Tamandua tetradactyla: one gene and its partners. Each later gene encodes a partner of the first gene's protein in a complex. Links are inferred from orthologs where the notes say so. Each region holds a gene or a part of one and is shown in the gene's direction. Other genes may lie near its edges. The genes, in order: SMARCC2, SMARCD1, SMARCE1 and SMARCD3.

The links.
Region 2: SMARCC2 (region 1) and SMARCD1 share a complex: the UniProt entries of both Homo sapiens proteins name them as parts of the BAF complex. The link is inferred for Tamandua tetradactyla from reciprocal best matches to the Homo sapiens genes SMARCC2 and SMARCD1.
Region 3: SMARCC2 (region 1) and SMARCE1 share a complex: the UniProt entries of both Homo sapiens proteins name them as parts of the BAF complex. The link is inferred for Tamandua tetradactyla from reciprocal best matches to the Homo sapiens genes SMARCC2 and SMARCE1.
Region 4: SMARCC2 (region 1) and SMARCD3 share a complex: the UniProt entries of both Homo sapiens proteins name them as parts of the BAF complex. The link is inferred for Tamandua tetradactyla from reciprocal best matches to the Homo sapiens genes SMARCC2 and SMARCD3.

Annotation. Positions count from the first base shown.
Region 1 is NC_135333.1:123,240,164-123,247,874, reverse strand, and holds the start of SMARCC2 (SWI/SNF complex subunit SMARCC2), read left to right. Parts: upstream 1-4,707; 5' UTR 4,708-4,762; coding exon 4,763-4,873; intron 4,874-6,955; coding exon 6,956-7,075; intron 7,076-7,636; coding exon 7,637-7,711. UniProt on the Homo sapiens protein: Involved in transcriptional activation and repression of select genes by chromatin remodeling (alteration of DNA-nucleosome topology).
Region 2 is NC_135333.1:111,100,650-111,107,839, forward strand, and holds the start of SMARCD1 (SWI/SNF-related matrix-associated actin-dependent regulator of chromatin subfamily D member 1), read left to right. Parts: upstream 1-4,059; 5' UTR 4,060-4,279; coding exon 4,280-4,456; intron 4,457-5,080; coding exon 5,081-5,268; intron 5,269-5,536; coding exon 5,537-5,579; intron 5,580-5,674; coding exon 5,675-5,797; intron 5,798-6,273; coding exon 6,274-6,396; intron 6,397-7,190. Other genes in the region: ASIC1 (acid-sensing ion channel 1), read left to right, coding at 124-215, 697-776, 867-971, 1,153-1,257. UniProt on the Homo sapiens protein: Involved in transcriptional activation and repression of select genes by chromatin remodeling (alteration of DNA-nucleosome topology).
Region 3 is NC_135332.1:26,726,923-26,733,913, forward strand, and holds the start of SMARCE1 (SWI/SNF-related matrix-associated actin-dependent regulator of chromatin subfamily E member 1), read left to right. Parts: upstream 1-3,962; 5' UTR 3,963-4,424; exon of another isoform or gene 4,425-4,515; 5' UTR 4,516-4,653; intron 4,654-4,678; exon of another isoform or gene 4,679-4,926; intron 4,927-6,634; 5' UTR 6,635-6,679; coding exon 6,680-6,686; intron 6,687-6,862; coding exon 6,863-6,906; intron 6,907-6,991. UniProt on the Homo sapiens protein: Involved in transcriptional activation and repression of select genes by chromatin remodeling (alteration of DNA-nucleosome topology).
Region 4 is NC_135327.1:195,192,360-195,199,943, reverse strand, and holds the start of SMARCD3 (SWI/SNF-related matrix-associated actin-dependent regulator of chromatin subfamily D member 3), read left to right. Parts: upstream 1-4,465; 5' UTR 4,466-4,893; coding exon 4,894-4,971; intron 4,972-7,584. UniProt on the Homo sapiens protein: Involved in transcriptional activation and repression of select genes by chromatin remodeling (alteration of DNA-nucleosome topology).

The DNA of each region.
Region 1 (7,711 bases):
TAACCTGAATAGAGTAGAAGGAGCAGGTTTTGAGGGTAAAGTCATGAGTTCTTATGGAGAACACTGAATCAAAGGTGTTTCCACAAAAATGATTAGCCAGTGATTGGAAACATGGGTCTGGAGCTTAAGATCAAGAAGTTTAGGGCTGAAGATGTGGATTTGGGAGTGGCCTGCCCAGAGATGATGAAGGAATTATAGGAGTGAATGCCAACACTAAAGGAGAGAACAGGGAAGAAGGCTAAGGATGGGACCGTGGGGAATTCCAGAAGTAATCTGGACTGCAATCAAGAAAATAGATACACATGATAGAGTAGGCTACTGTTGTTTCTGCCCCTACCCCCCCAGTAATTTTGTAGTAATGAATCATTTAAACATGGCTCATAAATTAGCTGTAAAAGAGTTCAGAAATGTTTTGTGCAATGACAGCATCCTTGGAACAAATACAGGTTGAGATAATTTCAGCCCCAAGTCCTTTTGTCATTTGTTTCACTGAATAAACAGCAGCGACAGAAGGCTCTTAAAATTTGGAACAAGTCAACAAGTTGGAGGGGAATGATATTAAGTTTTTGAATATTAGATTCCCCCATATTGGCTCTTTTATATCAGTCATATGAAAATTTTTATAAGAGCTAAGAATAAAAGCCAAAAAGATCATTCGAGGGTAGCATTTGCTAGTTGGTATACAGGTGAGGGGAGAGAAGGCACTTCATGAAGAAAGGCAGGAACTGGGCTGTCACATTGAGACAATCAGTTTAATTACAGTGGTAGAGAAAAATGCATAATTTAGGCAGGGTATGTTGGTGTTTGATCAGAGGAGGAGCTGAAGTTCTTGGGCAGGGAAATAATGTGATGAAAGCAGCCTTTTAGAATAATCATATTCTAAAAGAATAATAATCATATTCTAAAACCATATAGGGTGGGTTTAGAAGTGACCAAACGGGGACACCTTGAAAGCCATTGTAACAAAGTCATGAATTAAAGTTATATAATGGAGCAATAATTGATGAATGATGGGAACAGAAAAAGAGAAATAGCAGATAATTCTTAAGGTTGGAAACTAGAAAGACTTGAGAGAATAGTGCCAACAGAAATGGAAAAGTTGGGAATGCAATTCTAGGAGAGGAAGAGAAATTTGCGTTTTAGGTGACCGTTGGTCAGCTATGCAGATATATAGGCAACTAGAGATACAGGACCATGGTTTGGCTGTACACGTGGAAAGATGGCTTAGGATATTGTCTTAGGGAAAGGAAGGAGAATGAAGCTTTAGTAGACTTCCACAGAAGGACAGAGAAAAAAAGAGATGGGGAAGCAGTGTTCTGAGTAGGAGAAAGACAACACAATGTCTCTAGAAACAAACAAGGAAAGATTTTTAAAAGAAACCAATGTTTCAAACATAGCAAAAGTTTAAGAATGAGAAAAGACTATTGAATTTGGCCAGTGTTTCTATTAACGTCTTTTTAAAAGCAGGAGGCAGAAACAAGATGGCAGGGTATTAAGATAGTGTGGAGCTGGAGGCAGAGGGTATGCATTTTATTTGCAAAATAAGAGGAAGTAGAAAACAATGTGATTTGGCAGTGTCAAGTGAAGGTGTGATTTTGTTCTGAATTCAGGAAGGATTGATCCAGAGGAGTAGGAGAATTTGAAGGTGTTATGGAGGGATGCTTGTGGAAAATTCCTTAGGAGGTTGAAATGATGGGAATAGAAGGTTGAGGGCAGATGAGCAAGGCCAAATACTGTACCAGGAACTCAAGAATGCCGGTGAATGTAATGTAGTAAATACAGAAGCGTGGCAAGAGAAAGGGGACCAGATCATGCAACACAAAGATACAAGGACAGAATTTGCAGGGGAAAGGTGAAAGAACTGGGGCCATGGAGATGGTAAAAATTTGGTAAAATTTTTGGAAATTATCTATTATTCATGAAGATAGAGGTAACACTCAAAAGTTAGTTACAAGGGAGGCATCTGAGAGTGAACAGGATAGTCCCCAAGTGCCAAACCCCGTATGCCACATTCTCCTTCTCAGTCCAAATCCTCCATTTTGTAAACCATGGAGCTGCCATCCCTTCACAACACAGTTATTGGTTGCCCTCTGCTGGTCAATTTTGGTCTTGTTTTTAAGTCTAAGAGTATGAGCAAAATGGTATTTGGTAGGAAGCAGAGCACTGAGCCTACTAGATTCTATGAATTTATTTAATACATATTTGATTACATCTACAGATAAGGCATTGTGAAAGACAGCCTAAGTCTAAAGAAGTCCAGTCCAAGTGACAATTAAAACATGTACACATAATTACTGTAAAAACATCCATTTATTCAACAAATATTGTTTTTGTTTTTTGTTTTCATTTTGTGGCTTATATGCGCCTGAGTTTATGTTCTATACTTCAAATAATAAAGTTAAGGCATAGGATATGTTCAGCAATATCTGATCAGGGAAGACTCCCCACGAGAACCAACATTTAAGTGGAGGCTTAACCAACATTTAACCAACATTTGAGTGGAAGGTGAGAATGAGAAAGAGCAATTCATGCAGAAAACAGTACAGGCAAGGCCACATACTATAGCAGAAGTTAAAAGAATGGCAGTGAGTGAAATATAGTGAATATGGAAGAGTGGTGAAAGAGGCTAGATCATGCAAGACAAAGGGCAGACAAACAGCAGCCATCAGGGGCTTAAGGTCTCAGGCTATAGTACCCATCTTTAGTGCAGTTTTAAATTAACCCTACTTTCCTGATGAAAGCCCAAGTACCTTGGTGTAGTATGTGGTGGGCTCAGCCTGCACTCACACCTGAAGGAAGTAGACAGATTTGAGACATATTTAGAAGACAGAATAAGTAAGACTTGTTTTTATATATTTTATGGAGGCATGTCAAGGGAGATGCCTTGCATACAACTCAGGAATGGTGGTAGTAGACCAATAGGTTGCAGGTGAAATGATGAGGCACAGCAGAGAGGGGCTTAAAAGATATGATGATGGGAGAAGAGGTGGGCAATGGTGAGGGCAATCCACAAAACAGCATGAACAAAGGTATGAATGAACTGACACAAAAACATTCTCAACAAGCAGCCTAGCTCTTTCCCACAACAGACATTAGAGGATAGGAAGAGCCAGGTGAGGTGAGGACAGGAGCCTTATAGGTCCTAGCTTGGTTAATATACAAAGAGAATTTAGAACAGGGCCTGGCACTTAAGGAGAACACAAAAAGTGACAGACAGTTAACTTCCCAAACCCTGGCTCCAGCTCTTTAGTGTTTGTTTCAATAGGTTCCCCCAACCCCAGCTCTGTGATGCCTGAGGTTTATCTCCTCAAGAACATCTGAGTGAGAGAATGTCCTGTTTCGTGGGTTGTCAGTGTAATAAAACCCACAAAGTGTAATATAGTAATGGAAGTACAGAGGTGCCCTCTTTTCCTAGAAACTCTAGGTTTGACTATCATTACAGAGAAAAGCACTCACATTCTCAAACAAAATTGAAACACCCCTCTTCATTCAAATTCTTTACTACCCTCTCTCACAAGAATGAAACTTGCGCCGAACACTCTGCTGGCAACACAGTTAATAAGACTTAAAGTGCCGTGTAGCCTAGCAGCCAATACAACTGTGCATAATTAAGCTTCCTGTGACTTCCTTCCCCATACTGCTCCACCACCACAAGAAAAAAAAGAAAAAAAAAATCCAGAGGTGAAACCTTTGGCTTTCCTTTCCGAGACAGAAAGAGAAGTGCAAGAAAGTCACTTTTGGGGATTGGGACTCCCTTTATGAGTTGTGAAGGTAAAGCAAACAAAAACCGCTGCCGTCACGAACAGGATTCGAACCTGTGCGGGGAAACCCCATTGGATTTCGAGTCCAACGCCTTAACCACTCGGCCACCGTGACTCCCAAAAATCGCGCTTTCCCGCGCGCTTACAGAAGGGATTCAACTTCTGACCCGGCAAGAAGTACAACTGGAAGCTAGGACCCGACCCCTCTGCTGTGGCCCTCCCTCTTCTTACCTCCTCTTCGGCCCCTCAAAGGAAAAAAGTCAGGTGGACAAGATGGTTCTGGAAGGTAGGGTCTCCCGCCTAGCATAGAGGGGTCTCAAGGAGCGAAAACTATTTAGGATTTGATAGCGGGGCCTGAAGAGGAAGCAGTTGGTGGGAAGGGACTAGAACTCCAGGGTGGCGGCCAGGGAACTCCTCGGGTTAAAGGGTGAGAGGACGGTCCCTGGACAAGACGTCAAGGGTGAGGGATCCTCGAAAGTTTAAAGGGAGAGCTGCTGGGGAGGGATGAAAGGAAGAAACCTTTTGGGAAAAGGCGTTTGAGCTTCTGTGGAATTAGAGATGTGCAAGGATGAGAAAAACTCGGGGCTCCAGGGTTGAGGGCGATGGACGTCCCCTTGAGGTAGAATAGAGAGGTTCCCCATCCCCCGGGCAGAGGAGGCCAAAGGAGAGAAAGGGCTTAGCGTCAGTTAAGGAGCGATCTCAGCAGAGTGGGCGCCCCCTCCAGGAAACAGCCGTGTCCCGGGAGATTCCGGCTGCCGCCACCGCCGCCGCTGCCACCGCCGCCGCGGCCGGGAAGGCCACCGGGGTCGGTCCACGCGTGGGGCCAATCTGCCGCCTCTGCGCCCGGCCTGCCGGCAGGGGGCGCTACGTGGGCCGGGGTCGGCCGTGGCGGCGGGAGGCGGCGGCCGCGGCGGCGGGAGGCGGCGGGAGGCGGGCGGAGGAGGCGGGAGTTGAGCTGAGCGGGGCGGGCGGCGGCGGCGGCGGGGCCGGAGCCTGAGAAGATGGCGGTGCGGAAGAAGGACGGTGGCCCCAACGTGAAGTACTACGAGGCCGCGGACACCGTGACCCAGTTCGACAACGTGCGACTCTGGCTTGGCAAGAACTACAAGAAGGTACGCGGCCCCGGCGGGCAGGCCCGTGGGGGGTGCTGGGGGCGGGACAAAGGGGCCGTGGCCCCGAAGCCCCTTCCCGGATCTTGCCCACCCTCCTGCCGCCTCCGGCTCCTGCCCGGCGGCCTTGAGCAGTTCCCAGGCCGCTCCCGGTCCCCGCCTGGCGCCCTGCGCCCCTGCCCCAGCCCATTTTACACCCCCAGCCTCTGAATTCAGCCCCCGCATCCCCCTCTGCCCCTTGTTTTTCTCCATTGCCCCGGTGGGCCCGATGCCAGCAGCCCATCCTCTCCGAAGCCATCGTTTTCCCGGCTTCTCCGAGAGACAGCTAGGGGTGGACGGGGTCGGCCAAACGTGCCCGCCACAGTGCGCGCCAGAGCTCCCCACGGAGCCAGGTACCAGCAGGGCTGAGGCCTCCCTGGTGCTTTGTGTGTGTTGAGAGAGATGATGAAAGCGGGAGGGTAAATGGTCATAGAGCAGGCCCCTAGCTACTCATCACCCTGAGAAAGGCCCCCAACCCAAATCACCTGTCTCCCGGCTCCTCACCCCCCACCTCCGTCTAAGCGGCAACAAACCTCTATGGGTACTAGTGTATTAGATTTCCTGGGCAGCGGCCCCTTCTTAAACCATTCCTCACCTTCATAATGAAGTCACCCTGCAAGCTAGTCTTGCATTGCATTGGCTTTGGGGTTCAGAACCTAAGAGGAGTTCCATTCCTCTAACCCTCCCCATCCCCATCCCATAAGTGGAGGTGATAAGGTAGTGAACAAAGGGTTCAAGAAGCTTTACCTGTCTTTTCCACCAAACCTCTTACTGGTGTCTTTGTCTTTAAGCCTGGTGACAGGAGCAGCTATACGAGAGGGTTTTCTCTGGAGATGATCTGCCTCTCTTCCTTCTCACTACCCCCCAGAAAGAGAGTTAAGAGCTCTCTTTCTGGCTTTCTTTCAGCCTCCTAGCTCTTCCTGCCCAACTTTGCAGCCTGTCAGAAGTGGAAGTGTGATGGGTGATTTAGGGGGACTCCCTCTGTGATCTTGGTTATGAGTCTGGCCCTGTTCTCAGGATCTCTCTCTGACAAACAGCTGCTGGATCTGTGCTTATCTTCACCCCAGTGTGAGGGTCTTGTTCCCAGGCTTCTACTTTGACTTTTGGAAGAGAGATCAGGCTTTGGGCTTAGTCCCTGGCCCTGGGGAGATTGACAGCCTGTGACCTGGTTCAGCTTTCATGCTCTTAGCTCTTGTCATTTACCTTTTCACTCATTGATCTCCTTACACCTCCCACTGAGATGAGCTCTCTTCTCTGTGATTAGGGTTGAGGAAACAGAGGTCAAAAGGTAAAGAGAAAGTTAGCTTTCTGGCTTGTTTTTAACTTAGAACAGAAGGCTAGGTTGCTAGGTAGCTTAATATGGCTATGGCTAAGAAGGCCCTGAGTTGCATCTCAGATATAGTTTCCTCATAAAGGACAGATGTTGCATTACTGTTCCTTACTGGAAAAGTAGTAGCTGATCCTTCCCATCTAGGAGTGCCTACAGCTAGCACGAAGACATTTGTACCCACTTCCTAGCAGAAGCCAAATGCATATTCTTTCTGTCTGCTTACCCTACCTCACTTCCTTGTGCCTCATTAAGCTACATTATAGGGGGAAACTTGGCCTTCCACAAAATTCCCCCAAGAAATACAATGTTGGCCTGCATAGTGAGCCCCAAAGATATTGCTTCCCTGGCCTGAACTCCATATACCTTCAGAATTTTAGAACCCTTGGTGTTCCTGACTGGAGATCAGGTGTCAAGATAACAGGGTCCTGTAACAGGGTCCTGTAATTTCAAGGTATTGCTGAGGGAAGAGTAGGAAGTTTCTTACATCTCCAGCACCCAACACTAGCAATCTGGCTAGTGGAAGGAGGAATTCAGCTTCCTGATAAGGGTTGATCGGGGCCTTCTTTCTGCTACTTTCTTTACAGAACTAGGCATCCGAGGAGAAAGGCACTATTTTCTCTGCCCTAGATGCTTCTAGAACTCCTGGGAGAGAAATATGGGAGGTGGTAGATCATTTATCTGGGGTCTGTTTTTCTTTGCTTTTCCCATTTCCCTAGTATATACAAGCTGAACCACCCACCAACAAGTCCCTGTCTAGCCTGGTGGTACAGTTGCTACAATTTCAGGAAGAAGTTTTTGGCAAACATGTCAGCAATGCACCTCTCACTAAACTGCCGGTGAGTGCAAAACCAAGGTATACATACTCCAAACTGGAGAGGGAATTTTACTTTTTTGTATATTTGTAAATTTTATACTTTTTAAAGTTTGGGTCATTTACTACCATTCCTACCCCTTGTCAGGGCATCATTGGCTTGGTCTAGTCCCTAATTTATTATTCCTTTTGTCTTAGTAATACTTTGTGCAACAGGTATGAGATTTGGATTTGCTTGTGTTCAAATCTTGGCTCTGGCCCTTGGTGGCTCTGTTATCTTGGACAAGCCATTTAACCCTTCTGAGTCTTAATGCCTTCATCTCTAGTTGGGAATAATAATACCTACCTTTTAGAGTTTTTGTAATGATAAATGTGGTACTCCTGGAAAGTGCTTGGCACAAGGTGATGCCTTATGAATTTTGGTTTCTTTCCCTTCTTTCTTCTAAGCCACATGATACAATAGCACAAGGGTTAAAGAATTCCATCTTAAGAGGGTGATCAACATAGAATTTTGTGAAAGGATTGTTAGCTGATGAGAATTTAAGATATAACTCTCATAAACTTCTTTCTTGTCTCAATTTTGTAGATCAAATGTTTCCTAGATTTCAAAGCAGGAGGCTCCCTGTGCCATATACTTGCAGCTGCCTACAAATTCAAGAGT
Region 2 (7,190 bases), about 12 Mb from region 1:
TTAGCATCTCATTTTATGATCCAGAGACTGAGATTCAGAAAGGCTAACTTGTGAAGGTCACCCAGCTTGTGAAAGGCAGAGCTATGACTTGAACCTGTGTCTCCTCCCCCAACCTCACTGAAGGGAGAACATCTTGGTGCTGGACATTTTCTTTGAAGTCCTCAACTATGAGACCATTGAGCAGAAGAAGGCCTATGAGATTGCAGGGCTCCTGGGTGAGCTACTGAATGCACCTGTTCCTTCCCTTGCCATGGGCGGGGCCTGACTCCCTGCTCACCTCTGTCTCATATGGTCCCCACTCCAGGAACCCTTCCCCAAACCCTGCTGCCTTGGTATGTGGTGGGGCAAGAGGGCTGAGCCTTTTCTTAGGGTAAAGCGAGCGGCCCATGGGCATGGGGACGGGGGAGGGACAAGGGTTACAGGGGCTATTTCACACTCTCTGAAAACTGGTCCAGAGACTAAGAGTGTTGGGTATTTTGTAAGCAACTGTTTTACGTGAAATAATACCTATGCATTTTAGAAAAGTAGAAAATGCTGGAAAAAAAAAAAACACATAAAAACCCCACCAGAAGCTGGCTTTGCGCCCGTGCATGAAGGTTGTCAACACCCTCGTGAATAGGATTTGTTCGCCCCTGTTACTGCGAGCCGTGCCGCCCCCACGGTGACCTCCCTGACCTCCACGCACCCCTCCCGCAGGTGACATCGGGGGCCAGATGGGGCTGTTCATCGGGGCCAGCATCCTCACGGTGCTGGAGCTTTTTGACTACGCCTACGAGGTAAGCGGTGGGGGTGGGGTGGGGGTGGGGCCTACGCCGAGGGGCGGAGCCTACGGAAGGGGTCCCACCCCACCCCGCCGCCTGTCGCAGGTCATTAAGCACAAATTGTGCCGGAGAGGGAAGTGCCAGAAGGAAGCCAAAAGGAGCAGCGCGGATAAGGGTGTGGCTCTCAGCCTGGACGACGTGAAAAGACACGTGAGGAAGCCAGCGAGAGGTGGCGTCGGGGCCCACCCTCCCCTCGCTGCCCCGGGGCCCGCCCCCACCTACCCCCCACGCCCCACCCGTGCCTTCACACCATCCTTCCTTTGCCTCCTCCACACCCCAGTGACACCTGTGACGCTGATAACCAGTCCCTGTCCTGTGTGTGCCCTTCTAGAACCCCTGCGAAAGCCTCCGGGGCCATCCTGCCGGGATGACGTACGCTGCCAACATCCTACCTCACCATCCGGCCCGAGGCACGTTCGAGGACTTTACCTGCTGAGCCCTGCAGGCCCCTGTACCAAAGGCCTAGATGGGGAGGGCTAGGAGAGCAGGGGCCCCGTCCCCTCCCCCGGCTGCCCCCTTCAATCGGCTCCAGGACTTATGGCCACCTCCTAGGGCAGTCCCCCACTCCTGGACAATCCTTTCCTCTCCTCTGTGGTGAGGAAGGAGTTTTGACCTGACCATACTCTCCCTGCCTCTATCCCTTTTTTTGTTTGTTTTTTAAACAAAACTAAACTAATCTAAAAAAGAAATTAAAAAGAGAGAAGGGGGCAAGGGACCTCAGGCTGACCTGCTCTGCCCCATGCTGCCTCCCCTAGCTTCCAGCCTGAATTCTCTCCGTCTGTCATCTGAGCGTCCACCTACATTCTGCTGCCACCAGTCACCAAAGCCCCCCCAGTGGGTGGGGCAGGGGATCCTTGGGGTCTGGAATTTGGCCCCAAACCAGAGAATGTATCTTGAGGGGGAGGGCTGGGAAGGGGCTTTCCTAGCCTTAAGAGACCCCCTCAACGCAGTGATCCCCCACCCCCACCCCAATCCCAAGTCTTCAGGCAGAAAGTAAGACCCCAGTCTCACTTCCTCACACCATGTGGAGTCCCTAGGGGGCTGGGTGCAGTGATCCTCTGAATTGGAGACGGGGGCAAGATGCGGCCCTGGTGCTGTAGGCCACACCCCGATACTTACACGTTCACCCCCACACTAGAGCCGTAGCTGCTGGAAAGAAATCCCAAGAAGCAGCCGTCCTCTTACATCCCATAAAAGACCCCGCTGGTTGGTTTCCAGCTCAGGGAGAGGGTTACTGGTGCCTGAAATCACTGGTCCTTCTCCCAGGGGCCCCTGCAGAGGGCCACATCCATAAATTTTCTTATGGAACTCTCCCAAGTCCTTTTCCCCAACTCCATTTGCTTCTCTCAACAACCTCATCTGCATTTTCTATTTCTATATGATACAGACTCTATATTGCTATATCTCTGTATATACTTTTCTCCAACCCTGTCTGTCTCTCCCCATACACTCTTGTCTCTGGAAACCACCCCCTACCCTGAGTTCCCCCTTCTGTGTCTCTGACTCCCCCTCCCCCTGGTTTCTGAATGCCTTCGCCTGTATAAAGAGTTGGACTCTCTCCCCTGGTGTCTGTACTGTGTACACACATCCCTCTGAGAAGCACAAGGAGACGACACACGCATTGTAAACTTCGCACTGTCTTGGTGGCGACATAAAGGAAGCTGTGAATCACAAGCTCTGCCTCTTTCTGGCCTCATCCTCTCCTCCCAACCTGGGTATACTCTGCCCTCCCTGCAGCCTTAACATTCTCTTCCTCTGCTCCACCCTCCCCAGTACCCTTTACCTGGCTGGTTCCAGCCTCTGAGGAGAAGGGGGGAATGTTGCTACAGTGATAGCCCCCATCCAGGGAATGGGGACCTAGTCTACACCCTAAGCCAAGGAGAATCTTTCTCCCAAGCTAGAGGCTGGAGTGCCAGATTCAGAAGGAAGCTGGGGGTCAATCACTCCTGTAGTGGGGGTAGCGGAGTGCGGACAGGAAGAAGCTGAGGTCCTCAGTCATGGTCTTTCCCTCCTTCTGGGTGCCCAGTTCCCTTTTCTCACCTGATATTCAAGCCTGCCACTCACATTTTCTGGTGAGGTAAGGTGTGCAGTGGGAGGAAAGAGACAGGCCTAGAGGAAAAGTTGAAAGCTCTGCTGTTCTGTTCCACGCTACCTTAATGAGAGGCAAGTGAGGGAGAGGATTAGCCCCCTCTCCCTTCCACAGGCATCCCTCCCAGCCCACAGTCCCAACCCCTTCCCAGACCTTCTCTGCCCAGCCTTCTCTTGGTCTCCAACCCTGGAACAGGACCTATGGGTAGGTCACCTGTGCATTGGCCTGGAGCTGGTGAGTGAAGCTGTAGGATCTTTGGCAACTCCTGATTCTTAGGAGTTCTTAGAGAGCACACCTTCCCAAAGGGAATCAGGAGCAAGGCCAAAAGTGTGCACTGGATGGGGAACAGCAGGTGTGGCTCTGAGTGACGCATGCCTCTGGTGTAATAAACTGGGTTTCAACCATCTCCTTTTCAGTGTTGTTCTTCAGTTATTTGGAAAGTTATTCAGGTCTTCCCATCAATTGCCTAATGCTGAACTTGGCTTGGCTCCAAAGAATGAGGGGGAGGAGTAAGAACAGGGTTTGAGTAGGGAGGTCCTGATCCTCCTAGAATAGAACAGGCTGACCATCTCTCTGGGAATGGTTTGAACCACTGAGCAGGTAAAGAGGGAGAGGCCAAAGACAACAAAGACCCCAGAGAGAAGTCCCACCACAATGGATTTTTTGGAGAGGAGGACAGAGTCAAATTCAAGATAAACTGGAATTTAAAATCTGGAATCAGGTTAGGTTAAAGGTTAGGAACAAGTTGGGTTGAAGTTCCAGAATGAGGTAGTTATTCAGGCATTTTATCTGTGGAATGAGCCCCGGGCTAGAAGCCAGTAAGTAGATCTGGATTCTAGGCTTTGCTTTGTTACTAACTTGATAGATGACCTCTGCCAAGTCATTTACCCTCTGAGCTACATTGTAGAATAGAATAAATAGTGCGTTCTCATCCTCAGCACCCCGTAGATATAGCAATAGGGAGTGAAATGAAAACAGTCAAAGCACTTTGGAAGGTTAAGGACGCTGCGCCTGGACGAAGCAGTTACTCTGCCATCCTCTGCATCAGAAGGTTGAGGCTGGGGCTGGGGTCCGCCTTTTCCAGGTCTTTGTCTTCCTCCCGTCGGCTTGAGGGCGCTCGCTCACAGTGGCTCTCTATCCCAGAGCTCATCTCTGTGGTCGTCCCTCCCGGACCGTGAGGGCTGGAGGGAGTGGTCAAGCTCAGCCTTTTCCGCTAGCCCTCCCGCTCTAGCCCACAGTCTCGCTACCCTGAGCCTCCCGGGCCAGGCGGGCCGGCGGGCGGACAGCCGGGCTCTCGGGGGGCGCGCGGAGGACAGGGGGAGTTCCGGTTCCGGTTCTTTGTGCAGCTGCGGCAGCGGCTCCGGGGAAGATGGCGGCCCGGGCGGGTTTCCAGTCAGTGGCTCCAAGCGGCGCCGCCGGAGCCTCAGGAGGGGCGGGCGCGGCGGCCGCGCTGGGTCCAGGCGGGACTCCGGGGCCCCCAGTGCGAATGGGCCCAGCTCCGGGTCAAGGGCTTTACCGGTCACCGATGCCCGGAGCGGCCTATCCAGTGAGTAGGGCAGGAGGAGGAGCGCTCGGGCCGGAGGCGGGGCCGATGGGGGCTCAGGAGTGACAGGGGTGTGGTGGGGGGAGAAGTAGGAGGGGCTCCCCTGGGAGGAATTCAAGCCCTGTGTAGAGTGAGGAGAATTAGTGCGAAGAATAGGAGGGGGAGACATTTAGCATCCCTACCTACTCCAAAAGGAGTATTGTTTCCGTGCATGTCAGGGTATGAGATCAGGGTTGACGGCCTCGGGCCAGGGGTGGGCAGGTAAGGGCTGGAGCCCACAGGGGCTTGGCAGCTCTAGTGCCCAGAGGAAGACAGAGGGTATAGCTGGCAAATTGGGGTCAAGTTCTAAGGAGGTAATAGCTGGCAGAGTAAATGTGGGAGGTAAATGTGTCAGATCTAGGGTAGATAGGAGAGAGCATTTGAGTGTATTCTGGTTATCGCTTATTTTCTGGGCTATATTGACCCATGGAATCACAGTTGGAGTGGAGAAAGTCCCAGTTGCTTGTATTTCGACATTACCATACCAGTCTGGTTTCATTTAAAGAACTCAGGCATCCCTCACTTTTCCTTTCTTGTTGGTCTTAATAGGGGAAACCATGACATCTCTGGGTCCTTTTCCCTCTATAGCGACCAGGTATGCTGCCAGGCAGCCGAATGACACCTCAGGGACCTTCCATGGGACCCCCTGGCTATGGGGGGAACCCTTCAGTCCGACCTGGCCTGACACAGTCAGGGATGGACCAGTCCCGCAAGAGACCTGCGCCTCAGCAGATCCAGCAGGTCCAGCAGCAGGCGGTCCAGAATCGAAACCACAAGTAAGATGACTCTGGGGCAGAGGGAGGGAGGGGGGAGATCTATGAGAACAAAGGTGGTGGGAGTATTCTGAACCAAGAAATAGTGGTTCCCTGTCAGCAGTCTGGGGCTGCAGGACTCATTTCTCAAGAATGAGAATGTGAAAGGGGAGCTCTTTGATTTGAGAGGAGCTTTGCAGCCCCTCCACATTCTATAAATGGAGTGCTGACAGCTTGTTTTCATGTTCTGACTAGTTTCATCTCATCTAATAACAGTATTTATTCTGAACAGTGCAAAGAAAAAGAAGATGGCTGACAAAATTCTACCTCAAAGGGTGAGTCCAGACTATAGGTTTTCTTGAGGATACAGTGAGTTTGAGAATAGAGATGGTCAGCTCTAGAACCTAATTGTTATCTTTCTGTTCTGAAGATTCGTGAACTGGTGCCAGAATCCCAGGCCTATATGGATCTCTTGGCTTTTGAAAGGAAACTGGACCAGACTATCATGAGGAAACGGCTAGATATCCAAGAGGCCTTGAAACGTCCCATCAAGGTAACACAGGAGAGTGCTAGGCAGAAAGCCAAAGGAGAGAACTTGGGAAACTTCAGCAGTCTTAGTGAGAAATCAAAGGCATAACATAGCTCTCTCTGGCATTTAAATTGGATCTCTCCCTTCTGCCTACAAAGAGAGAATTACATTAGGAGCATAAGAACAGAATGGCAAAGGGGAGGGGCTTTTGATGTCTCTTGCATCAGAAATATACCTTGTCCGTGTTTTTGTTATAACTGCTCTCCCATCTTGGGATCCTGGCACCTTGCATGATTATCCACCCGGCATCCCTGTGTATGCACTTGCACTCAGGCCAGTGGCCTGTGTTCTTCTCCTGGATGGAATCTCCACCAACCCTAGGGACTGGGTAGACAGTAAGCCAGTTTGTTAGGAGTAATTTTGGGGTTTGGGGAGATCCTTGTCTGCAACATCAAACCGCTGAAGCCCCACCATCAATCCTGTTTCTGCCTTCCCCACAGCAAAAACGGAAGTTGCGAATTTTCATTTCTAACACTTTCAATCCGGCTAAATCAGATGCCGAGGATGGGGAAGGGACAGTGGCTTCCTGGGAGCTTCGGGTAGAAGGACGGCTCCTGGAGGATGTGAGTTCAAGGTCCACCGAGGTCGGTGTGTCTAGGGTGGGAGCTGCTGGGAATGAGCAGTGTCCTCTGGTCTGCTGAGACTGTGAACACAGCTCCTGTTGGGAGCACAGGGACGAGGGACACTCTGTTCTCTGTACTGAAAGACAATGGTTCTTTGTGTCTGTCTCCCACAACTTTGACCCTCACTATGGGTATCATTATTGTCCTGGGATCTGACTTGTTGTTTCCCTTCCCCTAGTGCTGAGGCCATTGGATTCACCAGTATCTGAAGATTACTTTAGTTTTTTTCCTTAATCAATTGAGTTTGCTCTTGACATTTGAGGCCATAATTTTCCTTTTCTGAGTCCTTGAGGTCATTGATTCCCACTATGGTATTTCCCTCTTCCCAACTTTAATTCCTCACAGTGTAAGTGGGATAGATGTCTCTGATAAACTTTTCATTGCTTTATGAAGAACATCAGCTGATACCACAGCAGCTCTGTGGGGAAGCTCACCTCTCATTCCTTCATACTCGACAGCTTTTAATTTAAGCTGCCACAGGCAAGCTAATTTGAATGCACGTTTGCAGGAGAAGCAGGGCTCGGTGTCAGAGCCTCCTTCTCTATATAGGTCCATTCCATCTGCTGGTGTTGTCATTTGGTCCAAATAAAGCCGTTTTTGTTCTGGCTGCTCATTGCCAGTGATTCATTTCCCTTCTAGAGTCAGACTTTTCTCGTTCAAGCTTGCTTTTATGTTGTGTGCGTTAGTTTTGCTTAACTTGTCTCATTTCTCTTAGGAAACTGAAGGGGCTAAGT
Region 3 (6,991 bases), on another chromosome or scaffold:
TGACTTAAAATACATTCTATACACACAACTGTTTTCATTCAGTATTCGTTAAATGCTACTAACTTTATTAAAGGTTTAAAAAATGCAATCATAAAACCTATTGTACTAAAGTTACTATACTAAGCAACAGTAATTGTAATAAAGCAGTATGTCTAGTGTAATCTTCATGCAGTGTTAAAAATTTAGAACTGGACATCATGAATGTAACCGCTTATTATAGTAATTCCACTATGCAGCTATTGTGTGTATAACAGGTACATTTAACAATACTTGAGTTTATAACAACGTTTTGTTTGCTTTGAGACATTTTAAATTGGAATATGAATTTGCCAAAGTAAATTATACCACTAAGATAAAAAAAATTAAACTTGAATTCTAAAGCTGCATTGTATTTGAGTTTCATACACTTCTTTTAATTCAAAAATATCTCTGGGACCGCAGTGGCTCAGCAGGCAGAGTTCTTGCTTGCCATGCCAGAGACCGGGTCGATTTCCAGTGCCTGCCCATTCAAAAGAAAACACAAAGTAAGTATCTCTGCATGTCTAAGCAAAACAAAGAATCAATTGCTTCAATATGGTTAGCTCATTTGAGTACAAAAGAAAAATTCCATCATAGTAGATAATGGTTTTTACACAAGAATGATATATTGGTACTTCAGCCTAAAAAAAATCAAAGAAATCCCATGGTCCTGGAGAAAATATAACAACAGCATACTATTTGCAAAGTGTGTACTATGCTCTAGGCACATGCTCAGTGGGCTCAAACATAATCTCTGATCCTCAAAACAGTCCCATGAGGCACATATTATCCTCATTTTATAAGTGAATAGAAATTAATATTCTTCCATCTCGCTAAAATATTTCAAATGCACACTTCCATAACAAAATATAATAAGGAGTTAATTTCGATTACTAACATTGTAAAATTCTAGCCCAGGTTCTAGAGGGCTAGGTTAACTACAGTTACTAGTTAGCCATATAAGCAAGAGGGAATCACTCTAAGTTCCCCAGACCTCAATTTGTATACCCGAAAACAAAGGAAAAGGTGATACCTGATAATAATTCCTACCCTGCCCACATCACAGAGTTGTCTGAAATAATACACATATGAAAATATTTTGTAAAGCACTACTCAAATATACAATACTATGTGGATGAAAATTGTCTTTGGGAGTAAAGAATTTGTGAGGACAATTATAGCTGGCAATGATAAGTAACATAGATAAAGACAGTAGTTCTAATTCTTCAATTGTTGACAGGAAATGTTCTTTTCCAGTGAATTAAACTTCTTCCATGACACTTTTTAAAATACAAAAATGTTCTCTAAAGTAAAAAAAAAAACTAAATTAATTTGAAAGTTTCAAATAGAAATAAGTATGGCACCTGGACCAAAGTTAAACTTTGTTAACTAATATGTATATACAAATTACTGATATTATTAACACATGAAATCAAAGGAATCTCTGTACACAAGGCAGAATTTGGCTCTATGTTAACAAGTTATGGCCAGCAGGTTCACAAAGATTTCCAATATTCATGGACATACTAAAAATAAACATTTCAAAATAAGGCATATGTGCAAATCAGGACAAGTCCTTTCCAATGTTCCCACACTCTTAAATTATAAACCAGGAGTCAGCAAACCTTTTCTGTGAAAGGACAGTAAATATTTTAGGCTTTGCGGGCCATGCAGTCCCTGTAGGAACCATGCAACTCTGCCTTGGTAGCCCAAATGAGCCACAGACGATATGGAAATGAATAGGCATGGTTATGTCCCAATAAAACAATTTACAAAAATAGGATGCAGCCCGGATTGGCCTGCAGCTGTAGTCTGTTGAACCCGATCCTAGATTCTCAATAAGATCAACAGATATTTGTGGATTATCTGTGGTTAAGAGACCCCGACCCCAGATTTCCCAGGACTAGCACCATTCCATTTTCAAATATTTTCATCTCTTTCCAATCATGTATCAAAAATCATGCCCCAAATCAAGGTATTGAGGGGATAAGGAAAGTTGTAAAAGCATACCACATTTTTTGTCAAATTCTATAGAACATTGTGAATTACTCTGTCCTTGAAAGCTACAGGGCTTCAACATTTCACAATTACTTCCAGCGATAGAAAACAAATTCCTGTGACTCCTGCTTTCACAGAAACGGCTGAGAAAATGAGCAAATTCCACCATTTGCCTATAACAATGGTGGACTTATTAGTGCCTATAAAAGTCAGTGTTAAGTACAGTCCACCTTGCTGGATATTTCACTCTTCAGCCTTAATTTCTTCAAGACTAGGAAAATATTTTTTTCTATTATCTTTTGTTGCCTATTTCTTCTTTTCTTAACTTTGTAAATCTTCAAGAGAGAAAGAACTAAAGGGGGAAAAACTGAATAGCTATTCATGTATTCATTTCACAAATATTGGCACCTATATTTACCCCACACAGTTCCAGATATCAGAGTTTAGCAATGAACAAAATTAGTCAGATAGATGTCTCTACCCTTGATCAAGGAGATTTCATTCCAACGGAAGGACAAAAACAACAACAAAAATAACTACATAAAAATACAGTATATTGGGCAGTGATAGGTACTGTAGAAAAAAATTAAGCACAGATGATAAATAAGGAGTAGGGGGGTGGGGGAACAAGTCGCAATTTTAAATAGGTCAGTTTGAGCAAAGACCAGGAGGTAAGAAAGTGATCAGTCAATGTCACTGCTCTACCCAGATACCCTCCTTTTTCTTCCCACCATTTTTGTGCCACCGTTCTCACACTACAGTGCGCTTTGTTTCTAACATCCAGCATCTGCAATTTTTCTTCAGAGGCCTGCTTAGAGATAATACAATTGAACATCTGTCCCAGCATTATACCTGCCCAATCCCCTGACTATAATCCTAAAGGCAGTGAAGAAACCAGGCGGAGTTGCTGGTCAAGGCCAGAGAAACAAGACATTGGGATGGGCTTCATGTGTCTCAGAATACTCCTTTACATGTCTCTGATGCTTTTACATTAAAAAATCAATTTATATATATTATCTCAAGCACCACTCAGGCTGCTTGTTATCTATCCTTCCAGGCCCTCACCTTTAAGCCTTCCTTTCAATACATCTTCAATTTCACTGATCTTTAGTCACTAACATAAAATTATTAGAGGTGGAAGAATTGCACAGTTTCATGAGTCCCTGGCTTTGCAGCCTTCCAGAGATGCCCGGTCCCTGCCAGCACACCCAGTGTGGATTCTGAGAGCAGAGCAAGAATTCATACACTCTTAATGGCAACACTGTTTTCAAAGTAATTACAGATAAGGAAGGATCCCATCTGTTCCTTCTTCCTCCACAGTGGCCACAACATCAGCAAAAATAGATATTTATATTCACAAGGAAGGGGCTATTCACGCCACATGGTAAGCCAATTTACTCATTATTTAGTGAAAAGAGCCCTGGACTAGATTAGAAATCTGCCTGAGTATATGTTTACTGAGTATCTAATAATAGTTCAAGATGATTGATGCAGACGCCTGGACCTTTGCTTTCAATGCCCTCGTAATGCGCTGGAGTTAAATACAAACTGATAAAAAAAAAAAAAAAAAAAAGAAGAAGAAGAAGAAAAGAAAAAGTCAGGTGGACGATTACAATAAAATTATCATCAAATAATGATAAGCTTTTAATCTTATAATTTTTTTTATCTTTCTCTGTGCCATGGGTGCACAGAAAAAGGATTACTGGGGAGAAAGTTTCAGTAGGGCATCACAAAGTGACCTGTGAGCCGCATCCGGAAGGATAAATGAGGTTAAAACTTAAAGTGGCGACAATAGTTCCCGGCTGAGTGAACCGAATTAACCAAGACAGGTTGAGGCAGTTACTAGTGGCAACGGGGACACTGCGCGGCTTACCGCGTCCGGGCCTTGCCTCGGGGAACTGTGGCACTTACACCATAAAAGCGCTTGGATAACTGAAAAACTCCATACTGCTTTTCATCAAGGATAATGCCAGGCTGTTAAAGTAGAAAGCCGTGCGAGGCGCCTGTGAGAAGGAAAATTCTGTGAACCCAGTCCTTCCCGCCTCCACCCTCGGCGTGCTAAGATGCACAGCTCCTGCCCAGAGAGAAGGAAGAGGACCCGGGCGGAGGGTGGGGGAGGAACACGGGGGCGGGGACGGACGCGGCCCCAGCCAGGCGCGGCCCACTTGGCAACGGTGGTTCCGGGGTCTCACGCCTTAGCGCGATTCCCGCTGTCTTCGAAGCGTGGCTGCTGAGGCCACGTCCCCCACCTCCCTGTGGCACAGCTTTGCAGCTCCCGCCGCGTCACCTGTCGCCGAAGCCGCTTCTGTTCCTCCCGACCGCGAAATCCCGGCCTATCCCGTGGTCGGGCAAACTTCTCCCTCTCCGTCGTGACGAATCGGCGCCTAGCCGAGAAAATACCGAAATTCGTGAGTTTTGAGGAACTAATGCGGCCTGAAAAAAAATTCTTGATGGCACTAAGTATCCCCGCGCCCTCACCATTAGGATTACTTTTCTAAGGAGAGTCGGGGGAAAGCTGGAGAGAAATTAAGAAAAGTGTCGAAAGTGCGAGTGCGGAAGCTCCGGACGCGAGGGGCGGGGCGTGCGTGGGACAAAGGGAAGCCTAGCCGGAGCTGCGGGCGCTCCTTCTGCCCGCGGGTGAGTGTTTCAAACTGGGCCTGACCGGGTCGGGAGGGTGACAAGTCTCTGTCTCTCCGCCTGGCTGCACCCTGAGTTCTCAGGGCTTGCTGGGGTTTCAGGCTTGGCTGAGGGGCTAGGGCTGGGGACCGATTCTGTGCTCTTTGAGGCCTAGCGAAGCGAAGATGGGAGTTCCGTCTGGGGCTTTTCCTCGGCGGTGAAATTTGCCCCGTCCACTCCTCCTCACAACAGGTCCAAGCGTCAGAGCGTACCCACCGCTCCCCGCCACCATCCCCCACCCCCGCCTTAGTTATGTTGCTGGTGAAGTGCATCCTTCCCGACAGACTTAAAGGAAATTATCTCAGAGGAAGCCCTCGGGGCAAGCCAAGCCCGTACTCTACCCCCAGAAAGGTGGTCCTCATTGGTTCAGGCAGCAATATGAGGAGGACCCACTGTGTGACTTGGAGCGAAGAGCAAAAGCTGTGAAACAGTCTGGCCTGGGTTTGAAACCTACCTCTGGCACCTACTGGCTGGGTGGCTTTAGACAAGTTACGTCAAGTCGCTGAGCCTTCCTTTTTTACATCTGTAAAATAGGGATAGCAGTACACGTCTTGTATACTGCGACTGTTGAACGAGATGGTCTGATATAGGTAATAAGTCTGTCCCGTATAAGGTATTCATTCTGAAATGCTTAGTATCTGTCATGGGCCAGGCACGGGGTGAATCTAGTGGTGGACAGATGTACAACCCTACTGCTAGAACTTATAGTCTAGCAAGAGAGATCAGCGATTTTAAAGTATTAACAATGAAGTGGAGTTTGTGGAGTTATCATCAGGGCTTCTCACAGCAAGGCCTACTGGGTATTGACAGCTCCCTGAATGAGAGCAGGAAGAAAATTTGCACCAGAGTCGGTGGTTTCAACCTGTCTTTTCTTTTTAAGGGAAGGAAGAACAGACTCAGGTTGGGCCATTGAATGTTTATCTTTCTATATGCTAGGCCTCTTATTTTTTATACCCCAGGAGATTCCCCTAAAATGCACACTAGGACCAAACATGTTTGTTGCACCTAATGTTGGATGAAAGTGTCCAGTGGTCATAGAAGTTGATTTGCCTTTTTTCTAAAAATGAATGTTTCTTCATACTACGTTATTGGTGATGTATGTTGATGTAAGAAACAAGCTCATGTGAGTATGGTCATATGAGCTGGCAATACTAGGGCAAAACTTATGAAGAATTTTGCCAAGTATTCTGCATATAATACGCACACCATCCATGTTGGCAGGTAAAAAATATATATATATGATAAATAAACAATTGGTAGATATTTGCAAACTGGAAAGGAATTCAGACAAGGGAGCAATTAATTCTGCCCAGATCTTTCATCAAGAAAGCTCCATTGAGGAGATAAATTTTGAAATGGGTTGTGAGGGATAAAGAAGGGTTTTCAGGTAGATTCTCAAAATTTATTCCCAGTTATGAAGATATTTACCTTTATTAGAGAATGTTAAGGCTCATTATTGTACCAGTTACCTTCTGCACTGCCTCCAGGAATAAACTGCTGTGCTACTTTAATGAAAGTTATCTTAAAAGCAAAAGTATAACCTGCTGATCAGGAGAATTGTCAGTATCCAGTGGGCCCTGATAGTTCATCACATTCTGTTGTCATTATCTTTTTATCAATCTGATTAAATGTTTACATGGCAACAGTAAAATGTTTTCCATACAAACGCTGGCTCTATCATAAGAACAGACCTGAAAGTATATGTCTAACATTACTTTTAATATCCTCAGTAATTTTTCTTAGTCATTTAATTCTGATCAACCAAGTGTCCTACAAGAATGCGTAAAATATGAAAAAATCTTGATTACTTGAAGATAATTTAAAGTAATTTTACTCAAAGATACCAATTAAACAACCCTATTCTTTAGGAGAACATTCTCTTATGCTTGCTGAGTTTTGATTCTCTTTTTTTTTCTTTTTTTTTTCTTTTTTTTTATTTTAGTGTCTCATATTCATTCTTAAGGAACTGAGAACTTAATCTTCCAAAATGTCAAGTAAGTTTCATTTTTATATTTATCAATCTATGTTAATAAGAGACTAATGCCCTAGCAAGTGGGAATTCCAAAATACTCTCATTTTTTTTTCCTTCAAAACAGGACCATTGGTAGTTTTGTTGCATAGTATTATATCTCAGTTGTTTACAAGAAGTTATTTATTTTCTTTCAAACAGAAAGACCATCTTATGCCCCACCTCCCACCCCAGCTCCTGCAACAGTAAGTTTTAATTTTCTTGTTAATGTAATAGCCAAGTCTGGCCTTGATACAAAAACCCAGATGTCTTCCAGTGACAGTCACTCAA
Region 4 (7,584 bases), on another chromosome or scaffold:
CTGACTATCTCATTCTTTGCATCTCTTTTTCTCTTTGTTTCTGTCTCTCTGGCTCCCTCCCTCCGTCTACCTTCCTTCTCTCCTTGTCTGACTTAGCTCCTGTCTCTGACATTTACAGTCACTGGATTTCAGAGCAGGAGGGGCCCCGGGAATTCTCTGGCCTAAGCACCTCCTTTATGGCAGGGCAAGGAGATACCTCGACTTGCCCAAGGTCACGCAACTATTTTCTTTGTTTTGCTTCCTTCCATCTGTATTTGTGTGTCTGTGAAAGTAACACAGAGAGGTGAAGTTACACAGAGGCAGACAGCCCCTTTGATAGCAGCAGAGGGAGTCCTGGGCACAGAACTGTTCTTACACAAGCCTACAGGCACATGGGCGCTGCTCCAGGTCTTGGAAGAACCGTGGGGACAGCCAGGGGGTTGGGGGACAGGAATGTGCCATGATACCCCTTGTCCGATCTTTCAAATGCCCTGTCTGGAGGCTGAAGGAAACCCCTCACTTCAGGTGGAGGATTGGGGTGCAGGCCCCCCACACTTCCAGGAGCTGGGCATGGAAAGGTTTAGGCCAGCTTTGGGTCAGAGCTACCTCTGGGTGGTTTAGTGATGGGGATGAGAAAGGGTTCTCTTTCTGCTGGTTCTAGGCAGAGCCTAGAGGTTTTAAGAACGAAGAAATGCCAGGGGCCAACCTGAGAGCTCCAAGTGGTCTCACTTTACACACGCACACACACCAATCAGTGAGGCTAACTTTATCCAATTAAGGAAAGCTATTGCTGGGGGTGCAGGAAAAGCGGTTGGTGGTGATGAGTCTCACCCTGTCAGTCCTTTCCTCCCTCAGTCTTTATTTCCTTTGTTCCTCTCTTCCCCTCTCCCTTTCTCCCTTTCCCCCTTCCCAGCTTCCCTTCTCTCCTTGTAGTCTCCCTCCTTACATTCGCTCAGCCCCTTCTCCTCCCCCTCCCCCTCCCCCTCCCCCAATTCCCTGAGCTCTGTCCCAGTAATGGGACTTCCCCAGAAGCCAGGGAGCGTGCGGACCCAGGGCTCAGGCCCTAGGCCTTGGTGGCCATCTTCCCGAAGGGAAGGAGTTAAGTCTTTCCCCTGCATCCCTCCTCCCCCTCCAGCTCTCTCCGCCGCCTTTGAGTCCTGCAGCTAGGCCCTGGGCTGACCTTCACCGGGAGGGAGGCCGCAGTGCGCATGCCCAGGCCGACTCCCGGCCGGCTCCCGCAACTGCCGGGGGACCCCGCGGTTGGGGTGGAGGGGGGCGGCGGCTGCCAGGCCGGGACGCGCCCCCAACACTGCACACCCGGGCTGCCGCTGCCGGCTCTGGCGTGGTTCGGGAGGGGGTGGGGGAGAAGGCAGCCCCAGCCCGTCCCGGCAGGCCGCGGCTACATCCTTCTCCCTGCGTGGAGAGAGGCGCTTTGCCATTTGGTGCTGGTGGTGCTTCAGTGAGGGAAGGAGAGATGGGGGGACGGCAGGGGGGACTCCGGCTCTGGGCTGCCGAGAGGCAGCCCAGGCGAGCCCGGAGCCTCTGTCCTGGGTAGACAGGCAGTTGGCCCTCTCCTTAGACACACACAGGCACTCTCCTACCCAGAGCGCTACTTGGGCCGGACAGGGAGTGAGATCCCCGTCGGACTGGGAGGAAGGGCCGTCTCCCTGCTTGAAGCCGGGCTTTTCCTGGGCCTGTGTGGAAGCCGGCCGCGTGTCCAGCAGTGGTGACTGCTGGAGCGTCCTTCTGGGCTGAGCTGCTGGGGATCCGGCCTTTGTGAGGAGGGAGCCCTGGCTGGGTGTGCCCCAACTGGTGTCTCCGCCCCTGCTTTCTGCTTTCTGGTCTGAAGACTCCCCTGAGCCTGCACACCTCTGGTCACCTTTGTAAAAGCGGCATGTAAACGTGTCTGATGGCGGTGCCTTGTAAATTCGGGCTTTGTGAGTGTGATATGGAGGTGGTCAAGGTGTGCCTGTGTGTGTCAGTCCTCTTGGCTCCTTGTCTCTTTGGCATTTGCATTAGCATGAGTGCTTGGTGTGTGTGTGTGTGTGTGTCTGTATGCATCATGTATTTGTGGTTTGTGCAAGCTTAAGGATCTCTCCCAGAGGGGTGGCAAAGCCAGCAGGGGGTGTGGAAGAGGTTGTGATCCTGGCATGGCCCAGGAGGGGTTTGTCTGTGGAGGTGAGTGACACCTATCACCTCCTCCATCTCCTAGACTGATGAACTGCCTATCCTTGATTCTTGATCCCTGGGGTCTCCCCAACCCCTTCACAGGTGCTGGGGGGCTCCCACCTTTGTTCATGCCCCACCCTAATACTTCCCACTTGCCCAATAGGGAGTGCCCATCCCATCTCCTCATACTCCCTTCTTTTCCTCAAAAGGTCTCTTCCAGAGTTGAGAACTTTGAGCTTTACACAAAGTCTGGAGATGTCATACCCTCTCATCCCCCAGAACCTCCACGTCCTGTGGTCTAGCTTTCTCATGCTAGAAGTTCTCACAGGGCCTGGGGGTGGCTACAGTGACTCTCACACCCTGAAGAACAAGGCAGAGTGTGATCTTGGTCCACTGAATTTTTAGGTGGTTTTGAGCATCATCAGGCATTTTTGTATTATTGAATCCTGGTGCCCAGGCATGGGAGTGAGAGGCCAGTTCCTTACTTTACAGAGCTGTAGCATCACTGAGGAAACCAAACCTAACACACATGGAATGCAGGGCACATCAGACATTACTTAATCCAGTGTCAATTCATGAGGCAAAGTAGATGAGCCATGGGCAATCAGAGAAGAGAAAGATCAGGGATGTCTTCCTGGAAGAGGTGGGGCCTGCACTGGAAAGGATGGGTATGATTTGGACAGGCCGAGGGGAAATGGAGGGCATTCCAGGCAAAAAGAATACTGGGAGCAGAGGGATGGGAATGAGTCTGGGGTTTTGGAGGTTAGTGGGAGACTGGAGCAGAGAGAAGGGTGTTGCTGGGGTGTGGCTCAGAATGCCCCACTCCAGATTACCAGCAGCCACCTTTATGGGTGATGGCGGATGGAGGCAACCCACCCACCCAACCCAGCCTGCCAGGGACAAGACATTCTGTGTGTGTGGATTTGGGGTGAAGCCTTGGAAGAGATTTGGTAGGAAAGGGATCTCTAGGACTCCTGCCAAGCCTGGGGTGGAGGACAGGTGTCCTGGACCCAGATGCTTTCTGTGGCCTGTTGGGGGCTTGACAGTGGACACACATATGGACAGAGGCACCCAAGAGCACAACCAGGGCCCAAGGGAAATCAAGCTGGGCAAATACTCCCTTGGTTTTCCTTGTCCTGAGCTCTGAAGGCATTCTGAAGGGTTTGATGGTCAGGACCACTTCCCACCTCCAGTGTAATACCAAGTCTTCAGGACCTAACTTCAAAGAAGTTTTCCAACCAACCCTCCCAGGCATTGCTCTAGCCTCATGTGGATTCTGGCAGGGCCGCCCCTAGAGGCCTGTCAACTTGATAGGCTGTTGTCCCAAAGCCTGTGGGACCCACAGAAAGGAGAAGAGAGGGTTGTGGAGTCTAGGGGCGTGGGGGGGGGGGGCGGGTTCCCCTCCTGGGAAATCAAAGGCTTTGTTCTTCCTGTTTCCTGCCCCTCCTCCAAACCCCGGGCTGCCTTCTCCCTCCACACCACCCCTCCTGGGGTTCTCTCATAACCCCAGCCTCTCCACCCCAGCTTTCTTTGGGGTCATGAGGCTGCCCCCACCATACCCAGCAGCCCCAGCTACTCCAGGTCCCCCACCCCGCACCCAAGCCCTCCTTGCCTCATTCCTGCCACCCACCCTTCTGTGCACCCACCCCCAGCGCCTTCCCTCACATTTTCTCTCCCTGTTGTCATGAGCTTGATCCTTGTCCCTCTTTCCAAAATATTTCCCCTATTACCCTCACTTTCTCTCAGAGAGACAAAGACTCATATACCCAGAAATAGACTCACAGAGAGCTGAAAGACATAGGCCCATGCACATACATACACACACACCAGAGCCTTTCATAGAGAGACACACAGAAAAGGCATCTGTCTGTTGTACACACAAATAACTGTCCACACCCACAGCCACAGAGTCTTGCCCACACCAGGACACAGACACACGCAGCCATGGGAGACAGGGTCACATACATCTGGGGAGAGGAGGACATCCGCCTGCCCAGGCATACCCCACCGCTGCTCCTCACCCTGGGGCAGGAGGGAAGGCCTCCTCCGGGCTCAGGCTCTCCCCAGATTCCTTGCCAGTGAATGTTTCCGTACTTGGCCTGCCAGGTCCCTAGGGAAAGGGCCTCAGAAATGCAGCAGGAGCAACTTGGTGGGGGGGGGGGGATGAGTTGGAGCTGACTGTTCCCTGCCTGGCTCTGCCGGTGAATTCCCTAACCGAGAAACTATTTGTGGAGAAAGCTCCGGGTGGCCGGCGAGCCCCCTCTGCCACCTCCCCTCCCCGTCCCCACCCCCTCGCCAGCCTCCCCGGGCCCCTCCAGCCGGCCTCCGGCTGCTGTGCTGCTACCCCAGCGGCCAAGGAGACAGTATTTTCAGTTTGCCTCCCCGCTTATCTGCGCTGTTTGGACAGCCAGCTTTGAAAAGGCAGGATTTTCTGTCCCCGCCGAGTAAACAGCCAGACCCCGGGCAGCCCGGACTATTTCTGTCTTATCAGTGCAGGAATGCGGCAGCAGCGGCGGCGGCGGCGGCGGCAGCGGCAGTGGTGGCAGCAGCTGAGCAGGAGTGGCGTGGGCCGTGGGCCGTCAGGGCAGCCCTGAAGGGGCCCCCTCCCCACTCCGCTCTAGTAGAAGTGTGAGAGAGCCCAGCAGGACTCAGAGGGGAGAGTTGGAGGAAAAAAAAAAAGGCAGAAAAGGGAAAGAAAGAGGAAGAGAGAGAGAGTGAGTGAGAGGAGCCGCTGAGCCCACCCCGATGGCTGCGGACGAAGTTACCGGAGGGGCGCGCAAAGCCACGAAAAGCAAACTTTTTGAGTTTCTGGTCCATGGGGTGGTGAGTGGGGGAAAGTTAGCGGGGGAGGGTGAGTGAGCTGGCTCTGGCTGAATGGAGGGATGATTGGGAGGGGCCGGGAGGGCGCTCCCTTGCTCTCACCCCTCTAGCTGGGGGGTGCGACGGCCCACGGCCCAGCCCCAGGATTGTGCCAGTGCCCCTGGCACCCGAACACGTCACCAGGCGGCTGGCAGGGGATGGGTGTGCAGGCGGGAAAGGGAGAAGCATTTGCATGGGTTCTTGTCAGGGGCTGGGGGTGGGATTTGGGGACTATCCCAAGTGAGGGGGCCCCCTCTGAATCAAGCATGTTGTCTTCTATTCTTTTCCTTGTGGGCCCAGGTGTTACCTCTTCCCCATGGGGGGGTCGTAGTGGGGGGCATGGCATTGACTGGGCTGGGCTGTCTGGTCATAGGTTGGGATGGTGTCTCTCTCTGATTGTGCCCCAGGAGCAAGGAGCAGGTGACCCTGGAGGCACTGTGAGTGGGAAACTCTCTGGCATGAGCAACCGCTGCCTCCTGACAGGGGAGCAATGGGGCTTTGCGGCTGGCCTCTGCCATCAGGCTCAGAGAGAGGCCCTCTGTAGGGACAGACCTCCAGCGAAGGGGTCTGAGGGTCCCTTTGGCAGAGTCAGTCACCACAAGCTGATGTTCTCAAAGCCTCAAAGGTGTGAAGGAAGGGCTAGAGATGGGGATATGAGGCCTAGAGATCAAAGGGACAGAACAGCCCTGTCCTGCCACAGGAGGCTGTGAAGGCATTTAGGGGGGCTAAGGGAGACCAGGGAAGGGGACACTTGAGCTGAGTCAGCAGAAGACCAGGTTAGGAGAGCTTGGGGAAGGTTGTGGGAATAGGGTGGGGATGATTCAGGCACTGGGAGATGGCAGGGGCTCCAAGATTTGGGATAGGTGATAGGGATGGAAGCAAAGTATAGAGGAGCAGTCAGGATTATTATGAACAAATTTGGTTAGGACCCCAAAGCCAGTACCTTCTCAGTTGAGGGTGGCCAGTCTTTAGAATCTTAGCCTTCTGTGAAGTAGCCCTGATGGCTGGCACAGTTTTCTGGGGGTCTCTTCAGCAGATCAGTGGATATCCCTGGCCTTGATCAATGGGGAATGCACCTGATAGGGAAGAAAGGGCATCCCTGGGGCAGCCTGTCCTCCAGCTCCAGGGATCTCTGGGGGTAACTTCCCAAGGGTGTGTGTGTGTGTCCACCAGCCGAGTTCCAAGTCCCACCCTTGCTGCCTGGGGAGTCCCTTTAAAATGACCCATCTAGGAAGGAGAGAGGCTATTAATGTGGATTTTTTGTTATATGACCAATTCAGAGATTCAGTTCTTGGGTGGCCGAGAGCCCCACAGCCCTACTCCCAGGCCCTGACCTATGCTGGTGGGGAATGGTTGGGTCTGGGCCCCATTCTGTTCTGCTACCCTGGAGGTGTGAGTGACAGGGTCAGGTGGGGTGGGGGAGGCAGACACATGAACCAGCAGGTTTCACTGCGGGAGAGATGGGCTGTGACAGCTGGCTGGCTGAGGGTAGGAGGGGCATTAGGGTTAGGGAGAGTTGGCATTTGGAAGGGGAACCTCAAGCCCAGGGTTCAGGCTCCTCCTTGTGTCTGGTGGCAGCTGTGCTCCCGGGGGGTGAAGCGGGTACTGTTTAAATGATAACAGGGGCAAGGCTCCTTCCTTGCTCTCCTTGTCCCAGTCTCCATTCCACCCACTCTCTTCCTTACAGCCCCTCTGGCCCTGCCCAATCCCTCTTGTGGAATCTGGACAATTGGGTTTTAAAAGCCTGCGGAGCACTTAATTTGGACTCGTTTGCATCTCATTTACATCCCATCTGACCACCCAGGGATAGTGGCAAGAGAGTGATTGCTGCCTCATCTCCTTCTCCTTGGCCTCTTTTGAACCGTCTTGTGGCTTGCACTGGGGGTAGTAGTGGGAAGTGGAGGAGATCTGTAAGGATAGGGCCATCTCTGGTGAGCTTGGTGGGTGGGAGGGGAGGGAAAGATGTAAGATCTAAGGCTGGTGCTTTGACCTGCCCAAAGTGTGCTTGGCATCCCCCTTCTAGGCCAGCTTTCCCCACTCCTCCCAATCACAGAAGGGTCTGTCCTCAGCCCGCAGCTTCTCACAGCCGAGGTTGCCTCCTGCCCTACCTCCAGCCTTCATCTTGGGAGCAAATCATGGGTGTGGGCAAAGTTAGTGAGGCTGAGGTACCTGGGTATGGAGACTTGGAATCAGCCTAAAGGGAATGGTGTTTGGGGTTGAGGGGTCAAAAGCAGGGGGCCCAGAGAGATGAGTGGGTTGAGATGAGAAGAAGTAAATGCAGTGCTGATCAGCCCAGGAAGTGAAGAATAGGAAGGAGGGAATAAAAGGAGGAACAGCAGAAGTCAGAGCAAGGAGCTCAGCCCCTAACTTGAATGAAGCAGCAGAGAGCAAAAAAGACTAGGTCCTGGCAGGTATTGCCTTTGCTAGGATGAGCTGTGTGACCTTGGTGACGCTGCTTTTCTCCTTGAGCCACAGTTGCCTCATCTCTCTAGTGGGGATGCAAGTACCTGCTGGGTCTGTCTTACAGAGGAGCATGTGGATTTGAAAATGCTTTGAAAAGATTGGCAGGCGCCATTA